Linked DNA regions of Drosophila melanogaster. Changing the gene in region 1 together with any one later gene gives a genetic interaction. Each region holds a gene or a part of one and is shown in the gene's direction. Other genes may lie near its edges.

Region 1 (7,196 bases):
GGAATCATAGTGACTGTTTACCAGAAGATAAGTAGTGCTGTTCGTGTTCTTGGGACTGATCTTAACGACAATATTCTGAATGCTCTGGTACATATTGACCATGGACCAGTGAACATAGCTACCGGATGCCACCTGAACATCCACTTCAATATCGTTGGCAGTGCCGGATCGAATTTTTTGCATCTTCTGGGAGAGCATCTTCAAAGCGGCCATCTCATTCTGTCGACTGCCCACCACTCGGGGTCCCAGGCTCACTAGCTCCCGTAGATTTTTCTCTGCGCGCTCGGCGATGAACTGGTCGGGATGCGTTTCCTCATCCTGAATGGTCAGTGGGCGGGGAAGGCGGTGGCAGGCGGGTATCGAGATGGTCACATAGAGCAGCAGCCAGAATCCAAAGAAGGCGGGTGCCCAGAACCACTTAATCTTGTTTCCCTGGACGAATGCTCGCTCACAGCCATTGGGCTGAGCCTGAAATGAAGCGGATAAAGATTAATTCAATTAAATTCAAACAACTTAATATGCCTGCAATGTCAGTATTGGCTTTAGGTCACTTATCTTATACGGGACTTCCGAAAACTAGGCATGTACATACATATTGTATATCTTTTAATCTTGCCAATGCCCCCTAAAGATATCTAATTTTCGGCACGGTTTTATTCACACCGAATGGATATTACCCAAAACTTCGTAGTTAGATACACCTACGTCTGGCCGCAGACATGAGTCAATTTCGAAATTGGAATCGACTATAGGTATCAAGTCGAAAGTTAGATTTAATCCATCAACGGTTATCTTATCGCTGGTCAGCCCGCCAGTTGCAAAACCTGTTGCCACCGAAAATCGAATTGGTCACAGGTGGATAGTATAACTTCTTGTGTTGGGAACTGCTCCACTAAACTAAGGCCAGACAGATAGATAAACCGAGGGTGCAACTAGGGCGAAATGGTGCGCTGCTATCTCAAGGGTATCCACTGTTCGTTAGTTATCGGCTTTTCCCTGATAAGTACATGCCGCCAAAAAAAAGTCGATTCCCTTGGAACTCAACCATGGGTAATGCTCATGTTGCTGTTTGGCTGTTTGGATCGGCGGTGATTAGCACATACCACACCCAATTGAAGAGCAATCTAATCAAGGACCCAAAGTGGGTGCTTACCTCATACTGCTGGGAACCGCGGGGTCGTAGCAATGGATCCACATTCGTAGGATCGTTGGTCGGCGTAATGACGCGACGCCGTACATTCTTCTCACTGCCACTCATGTTTCCGGATAACGATGCCCGGTATTTTGGTCAAGATCTCCCAATGAACCGATCGCGTCGGCGTCCAACGCTCTACTGAACGTTCCACTGCATTGATTATCCTAACGTACCGGTCTCAAATTCCCTCACAGAGACAAATAACTTTTTTATTCTCTCGCCCACGATACAATGTTTCTTATCTATCGGTTCGTCGTACGAACCGTATACAATAGTTCGAAATATGTTTATGGCTACTCAGGGTACAGGGGGTTGTGGGGGGCTGGATTTTCATTAACAGTGGACTGCGAGAAATGCCTACATAACTTCCGCTTGGATTCATAATTCATAATTCTGAATTTGACCAAGTCGATATATATCAATTAATTAGAGCAGCAGCATTATGAGTGCAAGCCCACATCTTATCTTTTTTTACACATTGAAAAAATAGGTATATCAATCTGTATTTATCATAGTAATAATGGCTGAATGGTTTTTTACTTGCAACGATTTTATGAATTCACTGACATCTGCATTATATTTTTCTAAGTGCACTTTGCATTCTAAATCTGCATCCGTACCTTCGATCTTTTCTCCTCCGTTTCGCTGCTCATTCCGAGGCGCTCTTCTTCTTCCCGTATCTATATTGTAGCGAAACCGGCCTTGTTGTTTTTGCCGCTCCGAGTTTTAGCCGCCGAATGGTGGGATCAAAGTTTCCGAAGCGCGGTTTTAATACCGCTCGAGCGCAAAGCGCTGCGGCACTAACTGAATTATTCAAAATAATGGTCAGCGTTTTGTTGACAGTTCTTAGTTGCTAATATTTACACTTTTCACACAGCGCATTATTTTCGTATTTACTTGGGCAAATGTGTGTGTGTGTGGTAAACAAAATAATTGTGTGCGACATTCGATAAAGATAGCAATCGTTTCGATTGTCTATCGCACCCAAGCGGTTCTTATCTGATTCGTAATTGCATACTTTCGGGCGGCAATTTGGAAACAATTTCACACTGGCCAGCAAAACGACCGAACAGCCGAACAAAAAGATAGGGCACAACTAAAAGCGGTAAATTTGCTCATTTACAGTTATGCGCCCTCATGCCTGTCTCTCTCTCTTTCTGGCCTGCATGTGCATTAGAAAACGATGACGTGAAAAGCACAGGCACACACACGCATGCAGCGGGAGCATCCCGTTTGGAATTGAGGACAACGTGGAAAACATGTGCCATAAAACGGGAAATGCAATAAAGGCGGGGGAGGTGCAGGAAGGGGCACTTAGGCGCAGTGTCATTCAACCTAAATAAGGAATGCCCGAGTGGGTGTAACCTATGTGTGTTTGTGTGTGTGTGCCAATTGCTCTCGCGAATTCATTCACTCACTAATACACTGACTCCCGCACTCACTTCTTCATTGATGCCTTGTGGCACTGAAATTCGTAAACAAAGCGTTCACCGGAACACGGACCGAAAGGATAATCGATAGAATGAACGCCCAGGAACAAGTGTATGGGAATTCCGTGAGAGTTTCACAATCAGAGCTACGAAAACACTGACCAGCTAGTTTTGGCCGTCTTTTGTGGCTAGTTTTAGTCGAACGGAAAGCGAGAGAACGCAGAAAGTACGCATGCGTGTGAGAGCAATTGCCGGTTTGGGGACACAACCAAAACAAAGCGAAATATGTGTCAGCTGCTTCTTCGCCCGCCTTTTCGACACAAATTCGCGCGTCCTCGTGCTTTGCGTACCCACCATCACCACCCATTCAACGCCTATCTTCCTAGCACGTTCATTTTGGTGGTGCCGCTCCACCCACTCTCTCTCTTCCTCTCTCTCTCTCTCTCTATCCCACTTTCTCCATCGTTCAGTTGAGCCGCTTGTCCCGCTGTTACTAAAGTCTCAGTCGCGTTTCAACGCTCGAAGCTTTTGGTCGTGCTCGCTGCCTAGGAACAAATTTAAGCAGAACGAAAAAAAAAAATAAATTAGGACTCAAAGTGGGATCCCTAACGGTACTAAAAATGTGCTTGGAGTAAAGAAAGGGGCCGCGTATCTATGTGCGCGCGTGTGTGTATGTGTGCGTCTATCTCTCTGCCTGTTCCGTTTGCCTAGCTAAAAATAAAATTATATAATTTTTAATAAAAAAAAAGAATAACAGAAAGGAAAGCACCCAGCGAATGCAAATCGTATGCGGAGCGAGCGGAAGAAACCGTACTGAATTTGTGAGTAACAGCCGCGGGATTGTTGGGGCAAAAAACACGTGAAATGCTTGCCTGCTTTACGGAGGCGAGTCATTTGCATTCAAATACTTGACTTTCATCATGTCTGCGAAAATATTGGATTAAAAAGCGTGGACCGTTCATGCAAATTGTTGTGATTTAATTCTAATTCACCCAAAAGTCAGATACAATCAAGTGACACAATAACGAAATTCCGTACTAAATTCCAGAGTTGAGTTAGGGTGCAAAACTTTAACTGTCTGCCCCATATTTATTGCAAATCAATTAAAAGTTGTAATCAAAAGTTTACGAAATCCAACTTTGGTGAAGCGAAATTTGTTAGTTTGCAACTTTTAAATTGGCTTCCACATGATAGTTTCTATTTATTGATTCCTATTAAATGTCCTAATAGGATTTGGCGCTCCTAAAATGAAAACCTTAATTTGCGGGGATTACAGGTCGTTGACCATAGCGATTATCATTAGCCTGCCGTTAAAATCCCCAACCCCAGTGAAAAAATGTCCTTTATGCGACAATAACTCACACCACAAGCCAGCCAAGTTTTTCCTTATTTTTTTCCGTTTACTTTTGTGGGTCATAATAAAATTTTTGGACAATGACACAATAGCGGCAAATCAGTGGCAGGATATGGAGAGAACAAAGCGCACGCAAGGAAGTGGAACATGAGAGGAATAATAAAGGAAAACAAAGGACGAAAAACAAAACAAAAACTGGTAAAAACCAGAAAAGTTTTCCAGTTAAAGTTCTAAGTAGTTGGCTCAAGGAGAGTTTTTCCTTAAAAAAAAAAAAAAACGGAAACAATTTCCAGATTTGGGTTGACCTTTTTTGTTTTTTAGTTAAGATTGCCTCGGTTTTCAATTTAGCCTTTTCATTTTCATTGGCACCTATCGAAACAATTTTGTTATAATTAGGATCTGCTTAGCTTTCATTTGAATAGTATTCCAAAAACTTTTCATGCGATCTAAAAAACGGAATGCCGACAATTGTTAACAAGCGTGGAAAATGTCAAGGGAAAAGTTCAAGTCCTTCGGGGGCGGTACTCCTGGGAAAGTTTTCCATCTGCTGCTGTTTTTGGGAGACAAAGGACCGGATTTCATCGAATTTCAGTCCTTGCTAATAGCGAATCGAAGCTGAGGCTCATGGGATGAACGCGCTGTGCGGCTGCGGATAATGGATAATGGGGGAGTAGGTCTATTTTGTCCCCACACAACTTGGTTTTGGCTCCCTGCTTATCCCCATGTACACTTGACTGGGCCTGCTGACGATGCTTTTATTCTATTACACTAAAAATCAAAGGAGATCTGCTATTTGTTATCAGAAAACTTTACTATTTTCAAGTGATTTTGTCGCTGTATACGCTTTTGTTTTTAACTTAACATATTCCTTTAGTATATAATATATGCATTTTGGTAGAATATTCTTTCAGTGTTCCTTTGCTTCGTCCGCCTTTCCCCGTTTCTCGGAGTGCGTGTGTTACGCTTTTTAATGAAGTCATTTGAAGCGTTCGCTGATTCGTTTGTGATTTATGAGCAGACGAAGCAGACACAGGATGAGACTCCCCTTTTTTCACCCCCTCACACACACACACACACACACACTCACAAACAGGTGACAAGCATCAATCAGTCGGATGTTGTTTTTGTGTCTGGATGGGCATGTGCATGTGTGTGTGAGTCTAGTTCACTTGTCACGATAATTGCTTCAAAATTTCTGGCCCAGAAGCTAACTGGATTAGGCTAATTGGCTGCCAGATGTTTTGGCTTTGGAAATTCACCTGGTCTTAAACACAGAGGAGTCGTTTTGAATAACGTTAATTAAGGCGGAGGATTGCTGATTGCAAATTAAGCAAGTAAATACAAATCAAAAGCGAATGTGGTGTTCGCCCTTTTGTTCACGTGATTTCACTGCATTACAAACAGTGGCTTTCCAATTGAAAATCGCTGTTTTACCTGCAGATTTCACTCATTAATTAATTACATTGATATAATTGCGCATACGCCGTGTAATCCCCAGATTAAAACTTACCCATTTTCCTTTGCTGAAGGATTTTTTAATCCCCAAATTAAGTGCTTGTTGTAAGAGCAGTGCCCTTGTTCTCATATATATTTCAAGTTGGCGAGTCAATAACCTAATCATACTTCGCTTGCATATATATACCACAACGTTTGGACTATTTCATGCTTGATTAAGCCAGCAAGCAAGCACAAATACTTATAGCTCAATGTCTAAAGTTGTATTCTGCCAACGGCTTTGGCAAATGGAAATGGCTTCTGAGCAGGAGTGGAATCCGCCTCATCCTTCTCAAATATCGCAAGGCATTGACTTATTCGTGCTGCTGGATTGCAGTGCAGCTTTCCACCCGGCCAATGACTTTTGTGCTTGGCCAGCAAAAGAGCAATGCATTTCAAGGGGACTGACTCCGTGCACAAAAGCAATTGTGATTCGTGGCAGTAGCAGCGCGACTGCATTTGAAACAAATTTTTAGATAGCTTGACAAAGAACTCAGACATTCAAAGATAACCAGGACTTCGCAATCATTTCTAAAGGTGTCTAAAAGCATTCAAAAATGTAATGAATACCTTGAACTTTCGCTTTAAACATTCTATGTTGAATACTTTTGAGCACTAATACAAGTGAGTTAAGTGAAGAATAATGCAACACTTAAAGTAATTAATTTTACATCTTTTTTTTAGTCTATTTTATATCGTGTGAAAGAGTATATCTAGCAGCTATTGTGAATCATTAAAATATATTTCTTGTGTATGTTCTTTGGTCAAGCCATGAAGGGGAATCTTATTAAGGACCACCGAAAGCAACCACAAAGAGACACTGCTTGGTCTTTGAGTACTATGTTCTGGACAGGATAATCGAATCTGTTGTCCAGGTAACCTTTTGGACGATTGAGTGGATGGCCGTGGCGAAAAAGGTTAAGTCAGTCTGGCTTGCGAGCATTTAATGATGTTTGGCAACCACTTTGATGGACAGCTTTATTCAAGCGGTTTAGTTCATTTTTCCGGCTCATATTGTTTTCTTCGGATATACGATGTAATACCGAAATATATGAGAAAATTTCTGCTCAATTCTGTGCAGAATTTATTCACATTTATTCACACAGAGCCGCTTTAATGAAGAGCCTTGAAGAGCGAATCGTATCCCTTTTTGAATATTTTTTTTTCCCCCGTATCGATTGTTTGAGTATGTGGGCATTGGCGATGAGCTGACTATATCTGCTGCTGATGTGTTGGCCTAATCATTCGACTGGAAATCGTACAAACAAAGGCACGCCTTTACGAATGTTTTTGATGTTGAGTGAGTGGGACTTTGACTTGTGGCGGTATGGGCGTCCAGGGGATACATCCAGAAGACCGTTGTTATCGGCTCATCAATTGTGTCCTGGCCGTTATCCCTTGAGCTTTGTGACCCTCTCGTCGAGCAAATAAAGTTACTTCGCCATCGCACAAAAGTTGGCCTACATCTAGTTAATTAAGTAGCTATTACAGAGCCAACAGGCCACATGAAAGCTACATTCCAAACTATATTAAATACCACAGCTCACACACTTTTTTGTTGCCTTATTTCAAAATGTATAAGCTAGCCAAAATGATGTTTTAAGCCCCTATTATTTTAATTCAGCGCATTGTCAATTGAACAGAAAAACGATAAACCAATCAGAAAATAATTTAAGTCATTTTCGGTTAATGGAAATTGATCATCTGAAGTTCTTTAACAAAT
Region 2 (6,074 bases), on another chromosome or scaffold:
GAGCCAAAAGAGTTACTGTCCGATGAGCAGGTTGAGAATTTACTATTAAATCACTTGGTGGATGAGAATGGTGCCATTATAGTGGAGGAACTCAAATCGCCAACAACAACCACAAGCATGTACCACACACACCAACATCAACAGCAACAGCAACAACAACAACAGAATCAGCAGCAGAAGCAACAACAAAAGCAACACCACCAGGCACTAAACGTGGTTGGAGCCTTGCTGTTTTGAGCCGACAGCGAAATACCCTACACTTAGAAAAAAAAATCAACACCAAAACCGCCTCACCATCACACACACACACACACACACACATGAATGCGGTGATGGGAAAAGTCACTTTTAAATGAATAATTGCAATATAGTTCATAGATAATGATCGAAAGTGCCACAAGAAGTATTTAAAGTTTCAAAACTATGCACTATTTTTGAGCATTTTTGTAACGGAATTTTCGAAAGTACCTTTCTTCAATTTAGAAAACTCTTGTTTGGCCGCTGACACAACTTCCCCCATCACTGCACGCATACAAATATGAAAATTATGGCAAAATTTTACTCTATGAGTATTAGGGCATACTTACGATCGATCCAAAAAATCCAATTAGTCAAAAGCGTAGCGTACATATCATTCAAATACAAAAAGACATCAATCCCAGGTGGATCGAAATGGATGCGAGATGATGGATGAGCCAGCAGGAATCTTTTTAAATCCACACCAACGCACTCAGGCACGTGTGGCAAACTATGTTCTAATCCTAAATAAATGATGTGCAATAATTTAGTTTATGTAGTGGCATATACATAATTAAGAAAGTTACATTTTATGCTGTTTACAAAAAGCAAATAACTAAATGCTAGTCAACAAAAACGAAATCAGTTTAATAGTTTTAGTGTGTACGAGCTAAATATTCGGCAAAATGATTTACAAGAAACCCACAAAAATACATAAGAGTGTACAAATAATGGTAAATGTGGTGTGCACTGAAAGAAAACGAGGAGTGCGTTGACAATTCGCACCAAAAGCCGAATCAGCAATATTACTTTATGGAGACATTTGAAATACAAGCGACTTGCAAATTGTCCGCGAATTCTTCGGTTTTCTTCTGTTTGCGCCACTGAGTGTTAAATAATTGCATATATAAATACCTGCATAAAATTATATGAAGTGTATTATACAAAACTGAATGTTTCATTTCGAAAACTGGGCAGTTAGTGAATAAAATGGGGCTGCCATTTTTAATTGGTAACTATAAAGCTTTAGTTTCATTCTTTGTTATAATACGTAAAAAATCAACTTTAAAATTGACTAGTTTGTGTTATGTTATTAAATAATATAGCATTGCCTTTTAACGGTTTTCTATTTTAGAAATTTCATTTGACCACCATTCTTCAGCCTTTTGGTATTTTCTAGTTTAGTATTTCCTACCAAATAAAAAACTTATTCTATGATTATGCCCATTAATTTTTACTCAAATCCCATTTAAAATTTTTGATTAATTGGTGTATATTTTAACTTAATATTAAAAACTATATTCAAAATCAATAAGTAATCTATAATAACACAGTACCTAGAAAACCAGCTGATTGCTGATAATATGTAAGACATGGCGATAGACTTTTGAAAGCTTTTGCATTTCAACTTTTATTCGCCATACAAGTTGCATATAAGTGAACATGTACGCATTAAGATCAGGAACTTTAAAAACCACAACGTTCGATCTCCATCTATCAATTTGAAATTGGTATATATTGTAAATAACGCTGATAATAGGATTTAAAATCACACCAGCTGATATACGATATATCGATTGGGCTATCGCAAGCAGTGGCGCCCCATCTCTACGATAGTGCTTTCGCTGCACGCCGACGAACGCTTCGTGCAACTTCGTGCAGCTTCGTGCCACTCGGTTCGCAGTGGTTCGCTACGAACCGCCGACGGACGCTTTAGTTTGGCTGCAACGCTTTGCTGAGAACAGACCAAATCCGAAGCGAGCGGAGCCGAAGAGAAACCGAACAAACCAAACAAACCAAGCCAAACAATCCGAAGAAATCGCGTCGTGAGTTGTGTGGAAGGAAAAGCGGTTAAATAACGCGGCGATCTTAACTGTTGTTCTTCTTTTTTTTTTTCGGTGCTGGTGTATTTGCACATTCTACTTTTTTTTTCGTTCTATAAAGTGCCACTTTGTGTGTCTCGCTGGTCGTTTGTTTTCTTTTTGTCGTGGGAAATGCGCGCGCGCATTTAAGAAGTGGCAGGAAAACTCCAAACGCAGCTGGTAAAGATTCAAGTTTTCCAAAAAAAAAAAAAAAATAATAATAAAAGAAAACCAACAAGAAAAACCGAAAACCCAAAAAACAACAAAAAACACGAATGCATTGCCAGCAGATGATAAAGAAGGAGAGCAAGAAGAAGAGCGCACCGCGACGCCTTCTGCTGTTGTGGTTGTTGTTGCCGTTCTTGGCCGTGTTTGTTGTTGTCGTTGTTGCCGCTTTTATCTGCATTGTCTTGCGTCTTAACTCGTTTCGCTTTGGCCTTTTCGGCTCTCCTCTCTCCCCGTTTTCCACACTCCCCCACTCTTCTCATCATGCCAATGCGTGTGTGTGTGTGTGTGTGTGTGTGTGCCGTCCATGGATGCGCTTTGCCACTGGCTTTTCCCTCTCTTCTCCACGTTCCTCTGTCTCTTTGCCACACACACGCCTTTTTTCGGCTTACGGCGGCGGCAGCAGCGGCAACAACAACAACAACAAGCTGCCGCAAAAAATCGATAACGGTATTGGCAGCGGCGGCAGCACAAGAAAACGGCAACAACTTCCGCTTCCCCAAAAGTTGCAAAATGTCACCTGCCCCAAGGATTAGATAATCAAAAAGGGCACGCGAAGAGAGAGAGCAAAGAAAAGCAATAACCAAGGGAGAGAGAGAGAGAGAGAGTGTGTGGGAGTGGGCTTAGGCTTGGGCTTGCCACGCCCCCCGCCTTAAAGCGTGGCTGTCACAATTCTTGTTTTAATTAAGAGCCAAACATTCAATTACAACTCGCTTGCTCTCTCACTCGCTCCCTATCGCTGTCTCATTCGCACCCTCTTACTCTCCGCTCAGCCATCTATGCATCTTGGACCTACAACAACAATAATAACAACAACAACAACAAGAGATACAGAACAAGGAGGCAAAAAAGTAACAGAAGAAGAAGAAGCAGCAGCAGTCAACTTGCAACACAATCGTTGTTGCTTTTTGGGTAAGTGTTTTCCTTTGACGAAATTCAGTTTGAGATACTAAGATACTTTTGCATCTCTGAAGTACATATATACGTAGTTATGGATAAGATACACATGAAATCGGGAGAAGGTTGAAACGTTTTTATTCATTTTAATATTTAATACAAATTAGAATATGAGTAAAGTAAATATTATATTTTCTCAATACATGTATATAAAATTTAATATTTTATTGAAAAGAAAGAAAGAAAGAAAGAAAGCAAAAATAGAATGAAAAATATAATCGAAAATCCTATTTAAATAACATGAATATTATTATATATGTAGAACTGAAATTTTATCCAAAAAAGGAAAATAAAATTAATATTAGTACTAACTACTTATAGCGTTTTTCATAAACAATTATTATCTTTAAATTGTTGTTTAACTAGATTCCAGTTGGATATAACACAAATCCGTCAACTTTAACTGCTGATCGTTATTAGCTTACTTTTTATTGTTTCGATAAAAAGTAAGACTTTTAGTTTATGACCAATCATTTTTACGATGATCATACATTTATGGCTATTAATAACAACTACTTAACTGTGTATTTGACTAACTAATGACTTGACTAGATAATTGTAGCTTCTAAGCCAGTTTAAATGGCTTCTATTCATAGATTTTCACTAGGGATTTCGAATTATTTAGCTCATTTATTATCTGAATCATTAGGGCGATGGCTATAAATAATTGCAACCCTTTTAACAAATTGCCTTTAATATTATAGTTTTAAATTGTGTGTGCTGCAGCAGCTGACACATGTGTTTTCTTTTCGCCCCGCCGACTTTTCATATTTGTGTTTGTTGGAATATACTATTCAACCTACAAAAATAACGTTAAACAACACTACTTTATATTTGATATGAATGGCCACACCTTTTATGCCATAAAACATATTGTAAGAGAATACCACTCTTTTTATTCCTTCTTTCCTTCTTGTACGTTTTTTGCTGTGAGTAGGTCGTGGTGCTGGTGTTGCAGTTGAAATAACTTAAAATATAAATCATAAAACTCAAACATAAACTTGACTATTTATTTATTTATTAAGAAAGGAAATATAAATTATAAATTACAACAGGTTATGGGCCCAGTCCATGCCTAATAAACAATTAAATTGTGAATTAAAGATTGTGAAAATAAATTGTGAAATAGCATTTTTTTCACATTCTTGTGAAATAGCTTTTTTTTTCACATTCTTGTGAAATTATTTCCTTCTCAGAATTTGAGTGAAAAATGGACAAGGCTAAACGTAATATTAAGCCGTTTGATGGCGAGAAGTACGCGATTTGGAAATTTAGAATTAGGGCTCTTTTAGCCGAGCAAGATGTGCTTAAAGTAGTTGATGGTTTAATGCCTAACGAGGTAGATGACTCCTGGAAAAAGGCAGAGCGTTGTGCAAAAAGTACAATAATAGAGTACCTAAGCGACTCGTTTTTAAATTTCGCAACAAGCGACATTACGGCGCGTCAGATTCTTGAGAATTTGGACGCCGTTTATGAACGAAAAAGTTTGGCGTCGCAACTGGCGCTGCGAAAACGTTTGCTTTCTCTGAAGCTATCGAGTGAGATGTCACTATTAAGCCATTTTCATATTTTTGACGAACTTATAAGTGAATTGTTGGCAGCTGGTGCAAAAATAGAAGAGATGGATAAAATTTCTCATCTACTGATCACATTGCCTTCGTGTTACGATGGAATTATTACAGCGATAGAGACATTATCTGAAGAAAATTTGACATTGGCGTTTGTGAAAAATAGATTGCTGGATCAAGAAATTAAAATTAAAAATGACCACAACGATACAAGCAAGAAAGTTATGAACGCGATCGTGCACAACAATAATAACACTTATAAAAATAATTTGTTTAAAAATCGGGTAACTAAACCAAAGAAAATATTCAAGGGAAATTCAAAGTATAAAGTCAAGTGTCACCACTGTGGCAGAGAAGGCCACATTAAAAAAGATTGTTTCCATTATAAAAGAATATTAAATAATAAAAATAAAGAAAATGAAAAACAAGTTCAAACTGCAACATCACACGGCATTGCGTTTATGGTAAAAGAAGTGAATAATACTTCAGTGATGGACAACTGCGGGTTTGTCCTTGATTCTGGTGCTAGTGACCATCTTATAAATGATGAGTCGCTGTATACCGACAGTGTGGAGGTTGTGCCTCCACTTAAGATTGCAGTGGCCAAGCAAGGCGAATTTATTTATGCCACTAAGCGTGGTATTGTCCGACTACGGAATGACCATGAGATTACACTGGAGGATGTACTCTTTTGTAAGGAAGCTGCTGGTAATTTGATGTCCGTAAAGCGTCTCCAAGAGGCAGGAATGTCGATCGAATTTGACAAAAGCGGTGTAACCATTTCGAAAAATGGGTTAATGGTTGTCAAAAATTCAGGTATGTTAAACAATGTACCTGTGATCAATTTTCAAGCATATTCTATAAATGCTAAGCATAAAAATAATTTTCGTTTATGGCATGAGAGGTTTGGCCATATAAGCGATGGCAAATTATTAGAAATAAAACGAAAGAATATGTTTAGTGATCAAAGTCTTCTAAACAACTTAGAGTTATCATGTGAAATTTGTGAACCCTGTTTAAATGGTAAACAGGCAAGACTTCCTTTTAAACAATTGAAAGATAAGACCCATATTAAAAGACCACTTTTTGTAGTACACTCAGATGTCTGTGGGCCTATTACTCCAGTTACTTTAGATGATAAAAATTATTTTGTGATCTTTGTTGATCAGTTTACACATTATTGTGTAACTTATTTAATTAAATATAAATCTGATGTGTTTAGCAT

What was found. A genetic interaction does not mean that the proteins touch.
Region 2: of Rgk1 (region 1) and rut, changing one enhances a phenotype caused by changing the other (phenotypic enhancement), as found in Drosophila melanogaster (one study listed by BioGRID).

What each region holds. Positions count from the first base shown.
Region 1 is NT_033778.4:19,352,458-19,359,653, reverse strand, and holds the start of Rgk1 (Rad, Gem/Kir family member 1), read left to right. Parts: upstream 1-3,128; 5' UTR 3,129-3,446; intron 3,447-7,196. Other genes in the region: CG11961 (uncharacterized protein), read right to left, coding at 1-468, 1,154-1,258.
Region 2 is NC_004354.4:14,821,951-14,828,024, reverse strand, and holds the start of rut (rutabaga), read left to right. Parts: upstream 1-1,951; 5' UTR 1,952-2,063; intron 2,064-2,119; exon of another isoform or gene 2,120-2,279; intron 2,280-3,097; 5' UTR 3,098-3,236; intron 3,237-6,074. Other genes in the region: CG14408 (uncharacterized protein), read left to right, coding at 1-237. UniProt on the Drosophila melanogaster protein: This is a membrane-bound, calmodulin-sensitive adenylyl cyclase. Inactivation of this cyclase leads to a learning and memory defect.